4 linked regions of the Rattus norvegicus genome follow. The protein of the gene in region 1 interacts with the protein of each later gene in a biochemical or structural test. Links are inferred from orthologs where the notes say so. Each region holds a gene or a part of one and is shown in the gene's direction. Other genes may lie near its edges. The genes, in order: Ret, Lrrk1, Tln1 and Grb10.

What was found.
Region 2: the proteins of Ret (region 1) and Lrrk1 form a complex in vitro, tested with the Homo sapiens proteins (2 studies listed by BioGRID and IntAct, with this or other methods). The link is inferred for Rattus norvegicus from reciprocal best matches to the Homo sapiens genes RET and LRRK1.
Region 3: the proteins of Ret (region 1) and Tln1 interact in a surface display test, tested with the Homo sapiens proteins (2 studies listed by BioGRID and IntAct, with this or other methods). The link is inferred for Rattus norvegicus from reciprocal best matches to the Homo sapiens genes RET and TLN1.
Region 4: the proteins of Ret (region 1) and Grb10 form a complex in vitro, tested with the Homo sapiens proteins (2 studies listed by BioGRID). The link is inferred for Rattus norvegicus from reciprocal best matches to the Homo sapiens genes RET and GRB10.

Annotation. Positions count from the first base shown.
Region 1 is NC_086022.1:153,015,575-153,020,411, reverse strand, and holds part of Ret (proto-oncogene tyrosine-protein kinase receptor Ret isoform a precursor), read left to right. Parts: intron 1-191; coding exon 192-317; intron 318-915; coding exon 916-1,026; intron 1,027-1,698; coding exon 1,699-1,818; intron 1,819-2,375; coding exon 2,376-2,632; intron 2,633-4,837. UniProt on the Homo sapiens protein: Receptor tyrosine-protein kinase involved in numerous cellular mechanisms including cell proliferation, neuronal navigation, cell migration, and cell differentiation in response to glia cell line-derived growth family factors (GDNF, NRTN, ARTN, PSPN and GDF15).
Region 2 is NC_086019.1:129,260,177-129,265,013, reverse strand, and holds part of Lrrk1 (leucine-rich repeat serine/threonine-protein kinase 1), read left to right. Parts: exon of another isoform or gene 1-2,011; coding exon 2,012-2,129; exon of another isoform or gene 2,130-2,154; intron 2,155-3,070; coding exon 3,071-3,187; intron 3,188-4,837.
Region 3 is NC_086023.1:62,592,364-62,597,200, reverse strand, and holds part of Tln1 (talin-1), read left to right. Parts: exon of another isoform or gene 1-86; coding exon 87-215; exon of another isoform or gene 216-369; coding exon 370-486; exon of another isoform or gene 487-571; coding exon 572-685; exon of another isoform or gene 686-874; coding exon 875-1,009; exon of another isoform or gene 1,010-1,137; coding exon 1,138-1,266; exon of another isoform or gene 1,267-1,434; coding exon 1,435-1,537; exon of another isoform or gene 1,538-1,641; coding exon 1,642-1,850; exon of another isoform or gene 1,851-2,186; coding exon 2,187-2,306; exon of another isoform or gene 2,307-2,463; coding exon 2,464-2,661; exon of another isoform or gene 2,662-2,780; coding exon 2,781-2,920; exon of another isoform or gene 2,921-2,954; intron 2,955-3,077; coding exon 3,078-3,171; intron 3,172-3,254; coding exon 3,255-3,344; intron 3,345-3,454; coding exon 3,455-3,577; intron 3,578-4,407; coding exon 4,408-4,551; intron 4,552-4,837. UniProt on the Homo sapiens protein: High molecular weight cytoskeletal protein concentrated at regions of cell-matrix and cell-cell contacts. Involved in connections of major cytoskeletal structures to the plasma membrane.
Region 4 is NC_086032.1:90,813,009-90,818,451, reverse strand, and holds the start of Grb10 (growth factor receptor-bound protein 10), read left to right. Parts: upstream 1-2,064; 5' UTR 2,065-2,270; intron 2,271-5,443.

The DNA of each region.
Region 1 (4,837 bases):
TTACCAGAAGGGCTCAGCAGACAGGAGCTAATGAGAGCCTCTGGCTCTGGTGCCTCAGTCCCTTTCACAAATACCCTAGTTACCCCAGAACCCATGGACAGTGGAACTGTTGTTACACTCTGTCCGTTTCAGAGGTCTGGAGACTGGGCCCACACCAGTCCCAGTGACCTTGGCTTGTCTGTCCCTCCCAGACATTGCAGAAGAAGTGGGCTGCCCCAAGTCCTGTGCAGTAAACAAGAGGCGACCTGAGTGTGAGGAGTGTGGTGGCCTGGGTTCTCCAACTGGCAGATGTGAGTGGCGTCAGGGAGATGGTAAAGGTAGGTTCGGGAGCTGGCAGGGGGTGGGATGGGGCTGGGGAGGAGGATGGGGGAGGAGAGCTGGGTAGGGGCCATCCTGGCTGCCGTCAGGAGTGAGTTCGTACAAGGTCTGCTAGTCCCTCATTTAGCTTCCCTGATCCCTGTCTTCTAAGCCTGTCCCTCCTGTGGAACCAGTGCCAGCAGAGGAGGCAGGGCTTGTGCCACCTCAATTAGATTCACTCTGGGGACCACTATACCAGAGCTGGGACCGACAGGGGACAGAGTGGTTCTTCCAGAAAGTCCCAGCCAGAAAGTGTTTCTGCCTCACTACAGGTTCACCTCCCGCTTTAAGGTGCTTGTGGCCAATATAGCTTTGACAGATCCTTGCCTTTAAGTGGCTTCCTTAGAGGAAGGCTATCTGCAGTCCTAGAATGCCCGGCACTTCAGCCCTTGGGGGACCCCTTGTCATTCCTTGCTGGTGTCTGAGGTGTATGTGGCGTTACTCAACTTGTCCCTTCATCTCGCTGTCCCTAGAGAGGCAAGGTTGGACCATGACAAAGGCAGACCATGGAGGGATATGCCCATGCAGGGTGACAGCCTGTTTTGTACTCCATCACAGGGATCACCAGGAACTTCTCCACCTGTTCTCCTAGCACCAGGACCTGTCCTGATGGCCACTGTGATGCTCTGGAGAGCCGGGATATCAACATTTGCCCCCAGGACTGTCTCCGTAAGCCCAGGCTAGGCCCAGGGTGATGCATTTTACCAGTGTGCAGGGAAGGGTCAAGGCAAGGGAGCTGGCAGCGGAGAGCTTGGAAGCCCTAACCTACACCTGAACCCAGGCTGGAGCCTCAAGTGTCTATAGGATGCTTCAGGCCAGCTGGGGGTATTGCACGAGCTTAGCATATGTAGGGCCATGGCTTCACCTTAGCACCAAAGAAGAACAGTGTGTAATAGTAGTAGGTTCAACCAAGCAGGATGTGCCAAGCCAGTCCTGCTACCATCTCATTTGAATGCTGGCTGTGCTCCCCCAGGACGGGGCTTGTGCAGCCTGGCCTGTCTATCCTTGACTGACTCATGAAGCTGCAGTCCCCGGCCTGCTGGCTCAGGACCCACGTTGTCTCTGGTCCATTTCCTCCATCTTTACTGTTACTGGGGGCTAGCTGTGGTTGATGCCTTCCGGGACCTCAGCAGTGATTCTAAACAATCTTGGCTCCCCCCTACTTCCATAGCCAGTATAGGGGTATTGTGTTAAACTCTGCCCAGGTGAAAGGGGCTTCCGAGCCTACTGCCTTCACTGGGCCTAAGCGACTGACCCCGAGTTGGGAAGGCTAATCACAGTCCGAGGACTCTGAGGCATCAGGCCACACCAGGAGACTGAATATTCCACATATGTCCTCAGGTGGCCCCATTGTTGGCGGGCATGAGCGAGGGGAGCGCCAGGGGATTAAAGCCGGCTATGGCATCTGCAACTGTTTCCCTGATGAGAAGAAGTGCTTCTGCGAGCCAGAGGACAGCCAGGGTAAGGAGCACCTCTCACAGGGCTCTCTGACTTCCTCAAACCCTCAAGGAAGCTCTGAGCAACATTTGTGTGGTTCAGCAAGGGAAGAGACTATGGGGAGGCAGTTAGACCCCAGGAGGCTGCTCCTTCCCTTTGGGCCCATTTTACCATTGGCACCACCATGAATCGGGGTCAGAATCCCTATAAAGCATATCCTAGCCACAATTCTCAATAAAGGATGCTCAGGAAAGCAGTCCTTCCAAGTAACTTGGTCAGATTTCCCGGACAGGGTCTTGCTTAGCCTCTGGTATTATGGAAGTGTCCTGGAATTTGGCTCACTCTAGGACCTCCCTGTCCAAAGCCTGTGATCCTTTCTTTCTTTGTCCTACCTTTCTATACTGACTATTCAGACATTTGCAACAGGAAAACAGGATAGCTGGTGTTGAGTGCAGTCTTCACACCACTGTTTGTACTGTGAGAGGTTTGACAGTAGGAGAATTGGTACAGCGGTGCCTGTACCCAGTCAGTAGCATCTCAGACGGTCACAGTGCAGTCCCTGTCACTCTGCCCTGCCACAGGCCCATTGTGCGATGAGCTGTGCCGTACGGTCATCACAGCCGCTGTCCTCTTCTCCTTCATAATCTCTGTCCTGCTGTCCACCTTCTGCATCCACCGCTACCACAAGCATGCGCACAAGCCACCCATCGCGTCAGCCGAAATGACCTTCTGCCGGCCGGCCCAGGGCTTCCCAATCAGCTATTCTTCCTCGGGCACCCGCCGGCCCTCACTGGACTCCATGGAGAACCAGGTCTCTGTGGACTCTTTCAAGATCCCGGTAAGGGGCCCCAAGAGGTAGGTGGACAGTGTTGGAGGAAACATGGCCACAGAGGCTTTCTTTACTACTTGGGGTGCCCACAGATGGTTGATATAGCCTTACGTAGATCCCCGTCGCATAAGGGCAAGAGCAGGGGGTTGCTTGCCTTCCAGGGCTGTGAAGGCAGACTGTCTAGGAAGGAAGTGACAGGTGCTGATTCAGATAGGACTGGCTGGGGTCTGAGATGTGGGCCTTGAGGTCCTGGTGAAAGTGAGCGTGGTCCTACCTAGCAGGGGAGGTGTGAGCAGAAGCCCCGAGAGAGAGGACCAGTAATTTCTACCCACACACAGGCATGCATACACTCATGCCCACCCAGCAAGTGTTTTATGTCAAGAGTAGGAACAGTGGAAGAGGCCCATGTTCTATAGCCCTACAATAGGCTTACCCATTGAGAAGAGGGGTGGGATGGGGATGGGGCAGAGTGTGTGGGGATCATAAAGAAGTGCTGACCCAGAGGTCCAGGGTAGCAGGAGTATATAGGGTAGATACCCCAACATGGAAGGGGGAGGCACTGGGCGCCCAGAAGAAAGCCCCAGCCACTCTTGAGATGGACAAACCTTTCCGTGGGTGCTGCTCAAGACCGGACTACCACTGAGGCCTCCCTATCATGGTCATGTCTTCTCTGTGGTTGCCATGTATGTGTCTGCCCTCACATTCGGGAAGACCCTGCCCCTTCAGCACCCTGGTTATCTGTTCGGGATTTGGAAGCCAGGGTGCTCTGGGAACAGCTAGGACAGTGTTATGGAGACAAGCGCTATGAATAGAGAAAGCCACAGGTTTGGGTGGAGGGACTGTGATGCAGACACCTGTGGGAGCACCCAGTGGCCATGGACCCCTGGCAGTTTGAAGTGGCTATGAAGTGGCCTTAGGTGGCTAGGGGGCCCTACCTTTCCCAGGCCTACGTGAATGACACCCAGCCCTCACACAGGGCTGGAGAAGTTCTTCCTACATGTGCTCTTTGCCTCTCTTGATCCTAGTGTGTGGTTCCTCCTCTGGCTGTAGCTGGATCTGCAGCAGGCTTCTAGACTAAGCCACCAGAGCTCTCTGTAACCCAGATAGCACCGGGAGGCTGCATAGCAAGGCCATATCATGTAAACAAGGGCAGAGGCACACACACGCTCCACACGTCTGCTCCAGAGTTAGCCTGGTGCCCAAAAGCTATACCCACAGAAGCCCCATGACTCAACCATTCAGCCTGATTTCCCTAATGTAAAACATGGAGAGTTGGTACTGTGACTCATTCCTCTAATTCCAGCACTCGGGGGGAAAAAAGGGAAGAAGATCACGAATTCAAGGCTAGACTAGGCTGACACAAGCAAACAAAACAGTAAAGATACTGATTTCTCTCAAATCTTTAAAGGAGCAAATTCATACCATTTCCACGTGCTTAGCATAGTCTCTGGTATGTGCCTTGGACATGTTTCTAGTGGCAGCAGTGGAGGTGTGACAGTAGGTGCGCGACACCAGTGATATCCGTGCCTTCTTCACATTCAGGGGGCTTCACAAAATATCAGGGTCACTTAGGAGTTTGCAAGAACGTGTGTTTGTGTGCTCAAAGGAGTATATATCTCTACAGGCCACGTATATGAATGTATATAAATCAGATAGATATGTATATCAGATGTATATAAATAGCCTTTGGCCTGGAGCCATGTGTCCTTTTAGGCCAGCTTTGTAGTTGGGGAAGCCTTAAAGAGCCTTGTAAACAGAAACCCGAGGTCTGCATGTGCGGGCACAGAGGTGGTATCCAGTGTGGTGCCAGCACCACGGGGTGGTCTTCTTACAGGATGGTACTTGGCTGGTAAGAATCTAGAAATGCGGGGTTGGGGATTTAGCTCAGTGGTAGAGCGCTTGCCTAGCAAGTGCAAGGCCCTGGGTTCGGTCCCCAGCTCCGAAAAAAAAAAAAAAAAAGGTAAAAAAGAATCTAGAAATGAATCCAGAGCAGCCATGATTGGGCCTGATACATGGAAGGGACTTGAGTAGGATGCTGGGAGCTGGAACTGGGGTGTATGTGTAGTGAAGTGGGGTGCACAGGACGGACCACAGGAGGAACAGCTGCCTCCTACTTCAGGATGGGAGTTTGCCCGGGAGTTCAGTGGTGCCTTTCTTTAACAGTCAGCTGCACAGGGAGGTGGCTCTGAATGTTTCCACTGTAGAGAAATTCTG
Region 2 (4,837 bases), on another chromosome or scaffold:
GTCACTGGGAACTGCTGTAGAGTGTAGGGAAGACCCCCTGGGAGGGGGAAAGAATTCCTGAGACCCAGAGGCAGGGCCTGGTAAGGAGAGAGGCCAGAGATGGAGTCTCCATGGAATAGAGGTCTTGGGTGATGGCCTGTGGGGTTGTCCAGCGCATGCTACCCCTCCTTCCCCTGACAGGAGAGCTTTGCACGTTAGTGTAGTCTAGGTGGTCCCAGTGGAGAGCATTTACAGGCCTTACAGTCCGGGAAGACTGAGATGGCGTGAGACTTGAATAGAGTGGGGTCAGCAGAACGGACTCTGAAGTTTGCATGGATCTTATGATCTTAGGTTGTCAGTGGGTAGACATGGACAGAGGGGAAATAAATTCATATTTCCAATTCTTTCCATTGGAGAGGACCAAACAAATGTCACAGGCACTGCAGGGTCTAGATATGGTTTCTAAGTACCAAGAAGCAGGGTTCATCCAATGGCTGGTTCCAGGACTGGGCCTGGACTCCAGAGCCAACCTCTTCCACCCTCCTGAGGATGCTTGCTTTTCCCTTCGTCTCAGACATAGGCACGATGCTGGAGAGAGTTGGACCTGGGGGAAAATGATCTTTCCCAGTAGGAAGAGAGGGTCCGTAAAATCTCCCACCAAAACAGAGGAGGGAGAGTGGGGGCTTCTACCTGGGCACACAGAGCAAGGAACCTGGAGAGAGAAGATCAGATTCCCAGACTGACCCATGGAAGAAGAAAGGAAACGAAGCAGGAAACCAGGGCAACACGACGCCACTGTGGCTAGACTCTGGTCTTTCCGCCATGTTTTTTATTTTTCTTAAGCAACTGTATTTTCAGTATCAAATTTTTTCATTACATGGAAGAAAAGACTAAAACGAGTAGACAGAACTTTGGAGAAAGTTTTGCTTGCAAGTTTTGTATCCATTTTTTTTTCATCTGCAGTTTGCTGTCAGTCAGGGGTGGTGAACACCTTTCAAAATATGACTGCAGAAAAGAGCTTACAGCATGGCTCCTGTCTGAGGCTCCACTTTCTCTCTGACTGGGAGAAAGGGCTGTGTGCTCTCAGGAGTGTGATTAGCCAACTAACCCCTCCCCTACTCTGCTCCGCTCATTGGGGATGTGTGGAGGGGCAGTGGAGCTGGACACATCCAGGCCTGTGAGCCAAGAACCTGCTCTCCTCACTAACTGAGCTGTTCTCAGAGCGACCAGGGTGGAGGCACATCATGAGCTCCACCCAGTCAAGTGTGGACTTCGTACTTCTTATCTTTAGCCTGGGACTGTCTACTCCAATGCAGAGGCTGCCTCTCTTCCTGTGGTGGGCGGGCTCTGGTCAGTGGGAGGGCAGTGAGCAGTCCAATGGAGGTGCTCTAACTCTTCATGGGATGGTTGCCTGAACCCTTGGAGGTCACAAAAGGAAAGGAGGCTGCCTTCCGGTTGGAATGTCCTTTCTCTTCCATGTTCAAGCCTTGCACGGCAGGCAAACCCAGATGTACCCAATGTCATGAATGAAGTCCAGGAGTGCTGCAGGGTAGCAGACCTTTGTATGTGGTTACTTTTGTGTCACTGTCAACAAAATAACTGAGCTGACAGAAACAACTCAATGGTGGATGACTGATCTGGACTCTCTGTGTCCAGACCCTGCCATCTTGGCTCCCCCACACTTGGGAGGAACATCATGGTTCTCCTTTACTTCTGGGAAGACAAGCTGCAGAGAGAGGAAACGAGAAAGACAAACAGAGAAGGTGGGGAGGGAGACTGGGCTCCTGGTATAACCACTGATATAACCACCAGTGTTCCATCTGCTCCAGCTAGCCCCACCCCCCCCCAACGTTCCCAGAGCCTCCCAAAATAGTGCCTACATCTGGGAACCACGTCTTTAAAACATGAACCCGTGACACGAAGGGTCCTTCCTACTTGTATGACTACACCTGTTCCAAGGCCATCCCACTGGCCTGGGGAAGGAGGTGCCCCTGGCTCTCTGCAACTGACCCCATGTTGTTGCCAACCACAGGAATTACACGGTGGTCAACACCGAGAAGGGCCTTCTGGAAGTACAGAGGATGACCTGTCCTGGGATGAAGCTGAGCTGTCAGCTCAAGGTCCAGAGCTCAGTGTGGCTAGCCACCGAGGTAACTGCCAGCCTGCAGGGCCCGTGTCAGGGTGAGCATTAGAGGGGTACAGTTCCCAGGGGTACCAGCTTTGTAAAACTGCAAGATGTCAAGGTCAACTGGACAGAGCTCATCCCTAAAACAATGTCATCGGTCCTGAGAGGTAGGTCACCAGGGGAATTGCTGCTGGCTCCTGCTTGCCACCAGCTGGAAGCTAGGATTCAGGGTAGTTAGAATAGGTAGGGAGTCTCAGCAGGAGAAACTGGGTGAGTTGATGGCATGCCACACCGTGTTTCCTCATGATACTGTGTGGGACACGGAGCATAGCTCATCCCTGAGGATCTTCTGTCTCCATACGCGGAAGTCATTGGAAGACCTAAGTAGCTGTCTTATGAGAAATCCAAATGTTGCCCCAAATCAGATGCTCCAGGGTTATGAGTAGGGAAGGAACATCATAATCCTTCTTCGTGACTGTTTATAAGTATTTGGACCTCCCCAAAACCCATAGATACCCATGGAACTAAAGTGTCAGGAACTGAGTCTGATTTAGGAGAACACACAGACCTCTGAGAATGCCTATCCCAATGTAATTCTTTGTAGCAACAACAAATTGACTAAATATGTTTAAAGATGATGGACAGAAGAGGAGACCCCATATACGTCCTAGAGGGGGTGCAGGGCTCTGCCCGTGGCATGTTCTCACTGTATTGTGGCCCCACTTTGCTAGTGGCTGGTTCGTGCATGGCAAAAGCAAGCTTCTGTCTCCAACTCCTTAGGATCCTCTATGAGTTAACTTTCTTCCAGACTGTATTTTCCAAACAAAAAGCAGAAATGGATTAGCAAGCAAAACCCTGCCTTTTTAAGGTACCAAAGGGGATCCCCAGGCTGAGAGCATCCTAACAGGACACCGTGCCAGTCACTTCCTTATCTGGTTCTCAGAGTGACTTTGTCTGCTCTTGCAGGACCAGAAAATCTATATCTACAGCCTTAAGGGTATGTGCCCATTAAGCATGCCCCAGCAGGCCCTGGACACGCCGGCTGTTGTCACCTGTTTCTTGGCAGTACCTGTTATTAAAAAGGTAAGGTATGGAGAGAGGCATGTTCAGGTCTGTCACCAAGTACGGGAGGGTCTCCTTGCTGGGGACAGTGGATAGAGCTGGGGACTTTCTGGGTCACCTTGCCCAGGTCACAGCCAGCTTTAGAGACAAAGGTGGCCACCATTAACATGGAGTGCCTACCATCCATGAGCACTGGCTTAGAGGAGGCTCATACTGGTGCAGATGATGAAGTAAGCCATTGTAAATGGCACCTTCTCCTGATAAAGGTATCGGGAGCCTCTCCCCTGCCCTGGCCACTGTGTTTTCTGATTAATGGACACAGCTGATTCCCTTTTGTCTGTCTCTGCCTCCTCTCAAAGACTTGCTTCCCAGACCCCAGTCCTTTGCCCAGCTTTGCCCAGCACTGCCCTGCAGACCCACTCCTCACCCCATCCACCCTGTGCTCTCCCCAGCCCCAGCTCCATATCTTAGCACGGAATCTCTTCTCGCTAGGGCTGACAAAGCCATCACTTGACTGGCCCTGGTCCTTCTCCTCCAAACAGTAGACACAGGAGCCTCCCCTTCCCTTCTGGTGAAAGGTCAGGCTGCAGAGCGATGACCTCTCCTCTGAGGGGTTGGCTGGCACTGCTCGCTCTCCTAAGTTCTGCTTCCTTCCCTGGATCTAGTAAGGCCACAGGGGCCTGTGGGTGCAATGGGTGCCTTCCACCCATACACACACGGTACTTCCTAGCACATCTTTTTAAAATGTGCTGAGTGCCCTTATGTGATCTCTGTTTGTCCATCTAAAAGGAGGACAGCAATGGCAATGAAATAGGTCTCTGAGCCTACGGAGCCCAGAGTTCTAGGCTGGGCACTTGGAAGCTAGTGGTTGCTATGACTTCTTTGCATTGCCAAACCTGTGATCTAGTTTCATTTCCTTAGAAAAGGAAAGAGAATAGAAAGAGAAATGAACCTTACAGTCATTTATGATTAGAGCCCCATGGGCAGCCTAGGCAGCTGGGATCTCCCTACACCAGAGAGTGAGAGAACCTGACACAAGGCATTATTGAAGGGCCCGATGGCCAGAGCCCCAGCCGGAGTGCACCTCCTTCCCGAGCAGGGAAAATAAAGCTGACTCTGTGTGAGCCTCCTGAGCAGGGTGCCTGCCCTGTGGAGGCCACACAGGGCAGACCATGCGTGCATTCCTGCACAAGCACACTCACATCCCTCTGAACGAACGTGGTGTTCCCCACGCCAGCCAGCAGAGCCAAGATCCAGAAAGACTTATGGCCTGTTTGCTCTGGCTGCTTTATTGACCTAAATCCTGAAGATGGAGTTTGAGAAACTTTCCTAGGGCTCCTTAACTGTGGATGTTGTGTGAGAGGCCACTCACTCCGCTACCCTCAACAGCTGCCCCCCTCTACGCAGGCACCCCGACTCCTAGCAAAGTGGCATCCTGCCATTCCCCATGGCTGGAACAAGGCTGAGATCCTGTCCTGAACTCTGACTTTGTTCTGTGGTCCTTTCCATGACCCAGTACCCTCTGTGTCCATTCTGCTCTGCTTTGCTTTGGGAGATACCCTGGGAAGTCTGCCTTTGGCTCTGTACCTACAACTTTGGCTTTGGCCTAGTAATGTCTGGCGGGTGGCTACAGAGGAAATGGTGCTTCGTGGTAAGTCAAACTCCTCAGTC
Region 3 (4,837 bases), on another chromosome or scaffold:
TAGCTTTAAACTGGATTTAGAGAAGTCAGAAAAGAGTGCGTTTTGAAATCAAAATAATGATGGATAATGGTTGTGTCTCCTCTCAGGGAGCAGCCGCCCACCCCGACAGTGAGGAGCAGCAGCAGCGACTACGTGAAGCGGCTGAGGGGCTCCGCATGGCCACCAATGCAGCTGCACAGAATGCCATCAAGAAGAAGTTGGTGCAGCGTCTGGAGGTAAGGCTGGTGATCTGGGCAGGGGCCGGCATGGAGACAGAGGGAGGGGTGCCAGGGATGGATGGGTCAAGCCAGTGTTTCCTTAGGGTACACTGAGGGCCTGGTAGGCCAGGGCCTGGGAGTGCCTGGCCTTCTGATTACTCTGTCTTCCCAGCATGCAGCCAAACAAGCTGCAGCCTCTGCTACACAGACCATCGCTGCAGCACAGCATGCAGCCTCTGCCCCCAAGGCCTCTGCAGGCCCCCAGCCACTACTGGTACAGAGCTGTAAGGTAAGTCTCCAAGAGGTATGTGGGAGTGGGGAGGGGTGAGAAGAGGGGTTCCAGAAGGAGGTATTCATGACCTTCTGTCCTTCAGGCTGTGGCAGAGCAGATTCCATTGCTGGTGCAGGGTGTCCGAGGAAGCCAAGCTCAACCTGACAGCCCTAGTGCTCAGCTCGCCCTCATTGCTGCCAGCCAGAGCTTCCTGCAGGCAAGACACTCCACTCCTAAGACCAGAGCCTCCCTCCTATGTTTCCCTAACCTTACATTCCCCACAACCTGAATATCTGCTATTAGCCAAGACCAAACCCGACAGAGTGCTTACTACATCCTGACCAATGTATATTCAAAGGCTAGAGGGAGGGTGACATACCTCATTTGCATATGTGTTCTCCAACAGCCAGGTGGGAAGATGGTGGCAGCAGCAAAGGCCTCAGTGCCAACAATTCAGGACCAGGCTTCAGCGATGCAGCTGAGTCAGTGTGCAAAGAACCTAGGCACTGCCCTGGCCGAGCTCCGCACTGCTGCCCAGAAGGTAGGGCAGCCATTTCTAGCTGTGGAACATAAGGCGCAGCACATAGACGGCTGGGATGGGGAGAAGTCGTAGAGTAGCCTAATCTGCGGCCCAGGAATACAGCCTCCCTGTGCTGCTCACCGCCACAGGCTCAGGAGGCATGTGGACCTTTGGAGATGGACTCCGCACTGAGCGTCGTACAGAATCTAGAGAAGGACCTGCAGGAGATAAAAGCAGCCGCTCGCGAGGGCAAACTTAAACCGTTACCCGGGGAGACGGTGAGGATTCGGCCTTCATGCATGCCCTCGCTTACCCACAGAGTCTGCTCAGCCCCGCTGTAGAGCCTTCATGCAACTGCCAGCCTTCCTTCCCCAAGGACCTTCTCAGGTGCCCTCCCCCCTCTTCCTTCCCCTCCTCCACCTGAGCCTTCATCCCCTTATCTGCAGATGGAGAAGTGTACCCAAGATCTTGGCAACAGCACCAAAGCGGTGAGCTCTGCCATCGCCAAGCTGCTGGGGGAGATTGCCCAGGGCAACGAGAACTATGCAGGTGTGTAGGTATCCAGGGCTGGGAATGGGACGAGGGATGCCGCCTGGAGACGGGGAACTTGTGGGGAAGAGGCTGATAGAGCAAACCTTTCTCTGTGTGCCCAGGTATTGCAGCTCGGGATGTAGCAGGTGGACTAAGGTCACTTGCCCAGGCTGCACGGGGTGTAGCTGCACTGACAACAGATCCTGCAGTGCAGGCCATTGTGCTTGACACAGCCAGTGACGCTCTGGACAAGGCCAGCAGCCTCATTGAGGAGGCAAAGAAAGCATCCGGCCATCCAGGGGACCCGGAGAGCCAGCAAAGGCTTGCCCAGGTCAGTGTTGGGAAGGGGCCCACCCCTTGCTTAGGTCTCTTCACAAGGCCTGCCCAACAGGGCGCACGCTCTTCTACTGCACGTGTTTTCAGTCCAGCTCACAGAAGCATCTGTTAGCCTGAGGCACAAACCTGGCTGAGCAGTGGGTTTGGGATGTTTGTGGGTATTTTGGGATGTGTGATTATTGTCTGTGACCCTAGCCTCAGTTTGTTCAGCTACAGAAGTTCCTTTCTGCCTGTTTTAGTGCCAGGACCTCTGGTTAACTCCTATGTCCCAGAGTAAAAGGGGCTCTCCCAAATCACTCCCTTTGGCAACCCTGTTTCTTTCCCACCTCAGGTGGCTAAAGCAGTGACGCAGGCCCTGAACCGCTGTGTCAGCTGCCTGCCTGGCCAGAGAGATGTGGATAACGCCCTAAGAGCTGTTGGAGATGCCAGCAAGCGACTCCTGAGTGACTCGGTAGGACTGTCTGTCTCATGACCTGTCCTTTGACCCTGCCGTCTGTAGCTTCTTACAAGCCCAGGCTTTGCGCCATCCTCCCTAGCCTGCCTTCCCTTCCTAAACTCTCTTCCCATCATCCCCACTCATCTGTCTGACTTCCCCTCGGACCCTGCAGCTTCCTCCAAGCACCGGGACGTTTCAGGAAGCACAGAGCCGACTGAATGAAGCTGCTGCTGGGTTAAATCAGGCGGCCACAGAGCTGGTGCAGGCCTCCCGAGGAACCCCACAGGACCTGGCTCGGGCCTCAGGTCGATTCGGACAGGACTTCAGCACCTTCCTGGAAGCTGGTGTGGAGATGGCTGGACAGGCCCCGGTACGAAGGGCAGAGGGTCTAGTTGAGAGCAAAGTAGGGTGTTCAGAATCTGGGTCTGCTCCTAGTTCCTTCATCTCTAGTCTAGTAGAACAGAATAATGTATGCCTTCCCTTCAACAGAGCCAGGAGGACCGAGCCCAGGTGGTGTCCAACTTGAAGGGCATATCCATGTCTTCGAGCAAACTTCTTCTGGCTGCTAAGGCCTTGTCCACAGACCCTGCTGCTCCCAACCTCAAGAGTCAGCTGGCTGCAGCTGCCCGGTAAGCTGGACCTGGGAATCTCAGCTCTGGGGACCTATGAGACGGCCAGAGGAGATATTTCATGAGACACCCCCAGCTTAGCAGTAGTAAAACAAAAGAGAAATATATACAACCCCATGCACCTAGGACTCAGTTCCACACTCCCCTTCCCAATCAGGGCAGTGACAGACAGCATCAACCAGCTCATCACCATGTGCACCCAGCAAGCCCCTGGCCAGAAGGAGTGTGACAACGCACTTCGGCAGCTAGAGGTGAGCCTTCGCATGGGAGCTGGGGCGGAGGAGCCGGGGCTGAGGGAGGGTCAGTTGAATGTCATGTTGCTCTCCCTGCACAGACGGTCCGAGAGCTCCTGGAGAACCCAGTGCAGCCCATCAACGACATGTCCTACTTCGGTTGCTTGGACAGTGTCATGGAGAACTCTAAGGTTAGTGGGCCAGGGAGCTCCAGAGAGGCAGGGAGGGAAGGTGACTTAACACTGGTACATTTCTGCTCAGTAGACATGATCAGAACCTCCTGATACCCACTCTTCCTTAGGTCCTAGGTGAAGCCATGACTGGCATCTCCCAGAATGCCAAGAATGGAAATCTGCCAGAGTTTGGAGATGCCATTGCCACAGCCTCCAAGGCTCTCTGCGGCTTCACTGAGGCAGCCGCACAGGTAATGTCCTAAGGTGTACCAGAGAGCAGCTCTTGTTTCCCATGCGTGCTGCTTCTCCCTTTCACGGCTGTCAATCAAGAAGCTAGTGTGAGATGGATCAGGGTCTCCTTCCTGTGGGAGGGCGGTCTCCCTCCTGTGGGGGGTGCTCTCCTTCCTGTAGGAAGGTGGTCTCTCTCCTGTGGGGGGTGCTCTCCTTCCTGTAGGAGGGCGGCCTCCCTCCTGTGGGGGGGTGCTCTCCTTCCTGTAGGAGGGCGGTCTCCCTCCTGTGGGGGGGTGCTCTCCCTCCTGGGGCATGGTCATCAGAAGCTATCGGAAGCCCAGGTTGCTGGGACTCTGTTTTGATCACACTGACCAGCTGTGAGACTTTTATTAACACTGCTGAGGATTGAGCTAGAGTTCAACTGAGCACTGCGTGCATATGCGCGTGCACGCTCTCTCTCTCTCTCTCTCTCTCTCTCTCTCTCTCTCTCTCTCCCTCCCTCCCTCCCTCCCTCTCCCTCTCTGTACTTTGTTTTGTTCATTCTGTGATCCATAAACACACATACTTCTAATGAACCTCAATAAAAATTGTTTGTTTGAGATGGGGACTTACTACTCCTGGCAAACTCACCATCCCCTTTGTCTCCTCGGCATGGGATTATGGGAAAGCGCCACCATACCCAGCCTATTTGCCTTTTAATTTTCTGAAAAGTTTGGGTCGGTTTAACAAGAGGAAAGTTTGTTTTAGGCAGGTTAACTGTGGTTTCTTATAACTGCTTCTCTCCGCACAGAAGAGAAAGAGAAGTCTGTTCTCTAACCCCATCCCTCCACCACTGTTCACTTCTCCCCAGGCAGCATATCTGGTTGGTGTCTCTGACCCCAATAGCCAAGCTGGACAGCAAGGACTGGTGGAACCCACACAGTTTGCCCGCGCAAACCAGGCAATTCAGATGGCCTGTCAGAGTCTGGGGGAGCCTGGCTGTACCCAGGCCCAGGTAATGCAAGAGGACAGGTACCATGGGCAAGGCTGAGAAAGGACTTCAAGAGGAAAGAGGGATCAGAAGCACCTGTGAGGGAGGAGGAGGCCGGGACACATCCCTCACCTTCCACACAGTGCTTGTTTCTGAGTCTTGATGTACTTCTGCATAACACTGAGGAAACATCTTCTCTAGAGATGCCTGAGCCCCTTCTCCCACTTGTCCCATTTTGATTTCCCTCCATTAATGGATCTATCTGTTGTCCGCTTCTCCCATCTCATGTCCAGTTCATCTTTTTTTTTTC
Region 4 (5,443 bases), on another chromosome or scaffold:
CTCAGGAGGCTGAGTCCTCTGGGCTCATTTATACACTGCTAACCTTACAACGTGCGGGTCTGTCTGTAATACCTCTGTGGGGGAATGTGTGGGCAGGGGGCGCTGGGAGTCTGGAGATGAGATGGTAGTAATGTAGTCTGCTCACAGAATCGGCCAGGACCTCCCTCTCCACCGGAGTTAACTGAAACCCTAATGCTACAGCAAGGATAAGGCCAAAACCTTTGTTCAGAAAGGCGCTATGTGGGTCCTACCGGCTGAGGTCTACAGGGAACAAGGAAATTTGGGGGTGAGGGCCTGTCCAGGACTTTGACACCAAGAAAATACTTGATCTCCAGACCATCCTAGTGAGTAAGAATGCCTGAAAAACACAGATTAAACTTTTCGCCTAGAGCACTAGACTGGTCTGTAAGGAAAAAGAATGTTCTAAATTATCAGATAAACTGAAAAAAAAAAACAATTTAAACCTAGATTAAATACGCACACGATTCTGTGGATTTGAAAGGTATGTGGTTGTTATATAAGAAAACATCTCCATGTTTGGGAAGGCAACATCAATGTGTAGAGGGCTGAAGGGTCCACAGTGTTTGGAACTTACCAACAAATCGATTCAGGGGGGAAAAAGTATTGCGAAAGTATGTAGAAACTTTCAAATATCTGTAAAAGTTCCCTGACCTGACAGGCTTTGTGTCTGGGACAGTATGGATCGCTGGTGAGACTTTGCAGGAAAACTAAAAGGTTTGAAGCAAATCAACTTGGGAAAAGTTAGCCCAGTTTTCTCTGCTTTGGTTCGCTTTTGAGTCCTTTGTCTACAAAAGACTTCTTGTGTTCCTTTCCCGGGGAATCGAAGACTTATTTCACATCCTTTCCTCTGGATTTTCACCTTGTGGGTTTCTGAGTCTGGACCAACGGCCAGAAACAGGAGTGAGTGTTCAGTTATAAGAAAGGGAAAACTTTTCATTGATTACATCAATCTGAGGTCGGAAAAACCACGGTTAGAAGCAAGAGGTACCAGAGCAGTGCTCTCAAAAAGCGCGTCGGGACAATACGTGCACAGCACAGCTTTCAAATCCTTGCCCTGAGCTCCCTCCCAGCTTCTCAACCTTCTAGAAGTTACTTCTTAAGAGACTCAGTCTCTCTACTTCTCTACAGTTGCTCTAGAAACAACCTCAGAAGTTTGAGTGAGGGAGAAGTAGGAGAACTCACGAATGTTTCACACCACGTGTCTTCTCGACTACGGTGATTTACGGTTGGGGCTGCTTTTACCAAGCCGAAACTCAAGAAAAAGGTGTAATTATTGGTATCCTATCTGTGCTAGAAAAGCGACACAATATAGACATTAAGAATTATTTCGAAGGGGCCGATCACATAAGCCCTGTTGCCTTTTCGTGGGTCACTTTAGAAACCGGGCACGGCCCGTCTGGGCTTTACTTTCAGGAGGGCCCCACTTCAGAGGTAAAGGACACGAGGCTTGCTAGGCTGCCTCAAGAAACAATGAAGGGCCTCTCAGGCTTCCCTCCTTCGGCTACTCACACGCAGCTGGCGAAACTGAGGCTGAGAAAGGTGAGGCTCGGACCGACCCGCCGTGAGCAAGCCCGAGTTTCCTTGTCCGGGCCCGGGGCTGCCCACGACGGTGTCGGGCGGCCGCAGCCCAGGAAGAATTTGAACTGTGCGGTTGGGGAGTACTTTCTGAGTTTCGAACAATTCCCTTCCGAATGGCCCTTCGGGACAGGTCCGGTCGGTCTTCGCCGGCGCGGCCGCGCACCGGGGCGGTGGCGTGGCGCCGGGGGTCCCGCAAGCTGCGAGCATGGTGGGCGCGCGCCGGCCTGGGCGGGAGAGCATCGTGCCACGCCAACCCCGCGGCCGCTGAGCCCGCGCCCCCCGCGCCACGCCCTGCGCCCAGGCCGCGGCTCCTCCCGCGCTGGCGGCCGCCGAGCGGTCCGGGCGGCGGCGGGAGGAGGAGCAGGAAAAGCGGCCGGGGGAGGAGGAGGCGGAGGCGGTGGCGGAGGCGGGGAGGGCGGGCGGGGCCCGGAGAGTTTAAAGCCCATCGAGGGGGTGGGGTGCGGGGAGGCGGCAGGAAGAGAAGGGCGCTGCGACCAGTGGCGGGCGGGATTCGCGTTCCGAGACCCACGGGAGCACGAAGTTTCCGCGCACCGTCTCACGCACGGCGACTGGGACCGTCCAGTGTCCGTCTTTGCCTTCGGCTTTTTCGCAGGGACTCGTGCAACGTGTGGCCAGCGGCCACGCGGAGGCGACGAGGAGCTGCACGCCAGGTAGGAGTTGGGCGGGGAGCGGCGGCAAGTTACTTTTGTGGTCCGCGCCTCGCGGGGCCCGGCGGCCGGGCGGCTCCCCGCGCCGTCATTGTCTGCGCTCGGGGCCGCCCGCGAACGGGACGCGGGGCCCCGCGAGGCGCGGCGGGCGGAAGGGCGTCGCCTCGGGGGGCTAAGGGACTGAGGGGCTGCGGCGCCCCCGGCCCGCGGCGGGACGGCGCGGGATGGCGGGACGGGACGGCGGGCGCGCGGCTGCGGCGCCCCGCGACGCTCTCCACTGCGCTCTGGCCCCCGGGGGGAGGCTCGGGGCCCCGAGAGGGACATTCTTGAGCCGTCTTGTCCGACGGCGACGGCTCGGGGGGCTCGGGCGGGGGCCGCGGTCAAGGCCGCGCTTTCGGGGGCCACCGCCCTGGAGGGTGGGCGCCCGGGGATCACCGGAGCGGCGGGTACTCCCGCTGCGCCCCCGGCCTCGGCGCGCGCGCCAGGCGGGCCGGGCAGCGGTGCCAGACACTCCCAAGTCCCAAGCGAGCGCGGCCCGGGCCGCGGTCCGAGGATCTGTCCCTACCCCCCCCCCTCGTGCCCCAACCCCCACCCCTTTCTTTCTTCGGGTCTGTTAGTGGCCCCGCTACCCGTCGCTGGGGCCTAACACCAAGTTTGAGGGCTCGCGAAAAAGCAGCCCGCCAGCGGTGGAAACGTGATAAGAGCGGTACCGTTTGCAGAAGGAAATTTCTGATGCAACTCTCCGCCTTTGCTGATTGCCTCTCCAAACGCCTGCCTGGCGAGGGCCTGCGGCATGTGCGTTATGGAAATTAGGGTATTCACTTTTTAAAAAAATTGTATTTGCCTTCTCTTGGCATTGGAAGAAACCCCGCGAACTTCTTTTCATTTGCTTTAACCAAAAAAGTAGGAGCGCCACAGGTGATTTTTACAAGGCCCCGGGTCTTTGGGATGTTTTTGAAAAAACTCTTTTCTTGTAACTGTTTCATTCAAGAGATGCAAAGAAAAAGTCCAAAACAAGTAGCATTAGTGAGTAAATATGTGTTATTGCACAACTTTCCCTTTGCGGCTGTTTAAAAGGCCAGGCCCAGAAGACTTTGTTTCAGAAATTGCTGATTCAGCCATTTGGAGCCCCTGAGTTTCAGAAATGGTGCTCAGTTTAACGTTTCGCTCTCCTTTACCAGAACTCCAGTCGTTAACATCGCCCCCCCCACCTCACCCCCTCGAGAACAGACTAAGGCTTACACTTTAGTGAGGTTCCTATTTTACAGAAGTGGACCTCGAGTTCTGGATTTCTGCAGCTGAGGGAATTGTGTAAGGCGATGGATGAGGCGTCTTAGAACTATTTCACCAAGAGTGCTGCGATCAAATGTGCTCCCAGGAATGAGTCTCGCCTACCAAATTTTTGTCTTTAAAAAAAATCAAAACTTTAGGATTACTGAACATACTTTTTTTTTTTTTTTTGAGTTTTACTGGGAACATTTGAAAGAGGCCAGTCCCCACATTACAGGGAGGGAATTTGAGGACAGACGGAGTTGCAGCCCAGCAGGCGTTGCAGTAACTGAGAAGTGTAGCCACTGATACTGAGGTAGCATTTCGCAGTTTACAAGGCGCTTTCAAAAGCCCTGTTGCTTTTTATGCGCTTCGTGGCCCCCACGGTCCCCATTTTACAGGTCTGGAAACCAAGGCTCAGGAGGTTAACTGGTATGCCTCAGGCCGCACCAGCTAACAAAGGACAAAGCTCTGGGGAGACCTCCTGAGCTTTTTACCGTCTGCAAAAGCATGTCCACTTCTAGAAGAAATGGTGTAGAGGAGGGACACCCTGCTCAACACACAGCAGAGCAAATGGAGGACGGGGCCTGGTTTCTTAGACCAGTTGCTTCCAGCCTTCCAGATTAATGCCACGTAGACCAAGCAATTATCACTGAGGTTTTTCTTTTTTCTTTTTTCTTTTTCTTCTTTTTTTTTAACTTACATACTCATTTACTTTGAGAAGAAACTTCAATATTCATCAAGCCATGAGTTTGATATGATATTTTTGTTCATTATGATTAAAGTTAAAACGCTTCGTGGCACCTAAATCACTTATTACACACTACTTGGCCTATGTTGCTTTTGAACCAGTGTTGGGTTGGTCAAAGTGGATTTTGTAGGCGGACTAGGGAACCAGAAAGCAGGGCAGATTTTTTGGTGGCTAATTGTCTAGGACTTTGGGTGGTGGTTACTGCTATGGTTGGAAGCCAGAGCAGCTGTGTCTGTCCAGTTAGCCTCCACTGGGCAAGAAGGACAAAATCAGAACCAAAGATCCAGCTCAAAATTTAGGATGTGGCTGAACCCGCTGGGTCACAGGCTTTACAGTGTTTCGAAGCCAAACTTTGGTTGAACCAAGCCATCCATGTGCCCTTAGCTCATTTTAGAGCTGTACAGATTTTTGCTTGGCCTATCTTTCTTTTTAAACTGGTATTTTATAGATGGTGTGATTTAGAGAACCTATTTGCTTGAAAGTTTGTTCCACGTGTAAGAAACTACAGGACCGTCGTGTCTATTTGCAACTGTGCGCTGGGGGCAGTTGTCCATCCGTGGAGACTCAGTGCTCCCCGCCGGACATTTCAGTGTTGGCACTTAATAGGAGGGAAGCCTGTGCAGAATCCAGTGTCTGTTTCTCAGCCCGTTAAAACAACATGGAGGGCAGACGAAGCAGCTCAGTGTAGAGCCATGATGAGGCCTTGGCTTTAACTCCAGCTCCAAGTCCTCCTCCCTGGAGAAATTCCCCTCACAAAAACCCACAGCAGTATAGGGCTTTGGAATGAGAAAATATTATTTGCTTTTTATTTAGGGGGTTGGTCACATGCTCAAATTTAAATCTTTTCCGTTAGTGAAGCTGTTTTTGATTGGGGGGGGCATTTTTTTCTTTTTTTTTTCTCTCTTTTTTTTTCCTTTAGGTTCTCTCCTCCTCCTTTTTGGGTTTTTACCCACCATTTTATTTTTTTTTTTTACTTCCTTGTAAAGTTTATTTTTCTCTTCTTTTGGCTTTTTGATTTTGATGTTCCATCAAAGTCGCAGACTTTACAGTGTTCAGAAACTGAACTTCGCTTCAACAAAGACGTCTGCTGTGCCTTCAGTTTCATCCTAAAGCTGTAGGATTTTTTTTTTAATTTCTTAAGAATTTATTAGATAAA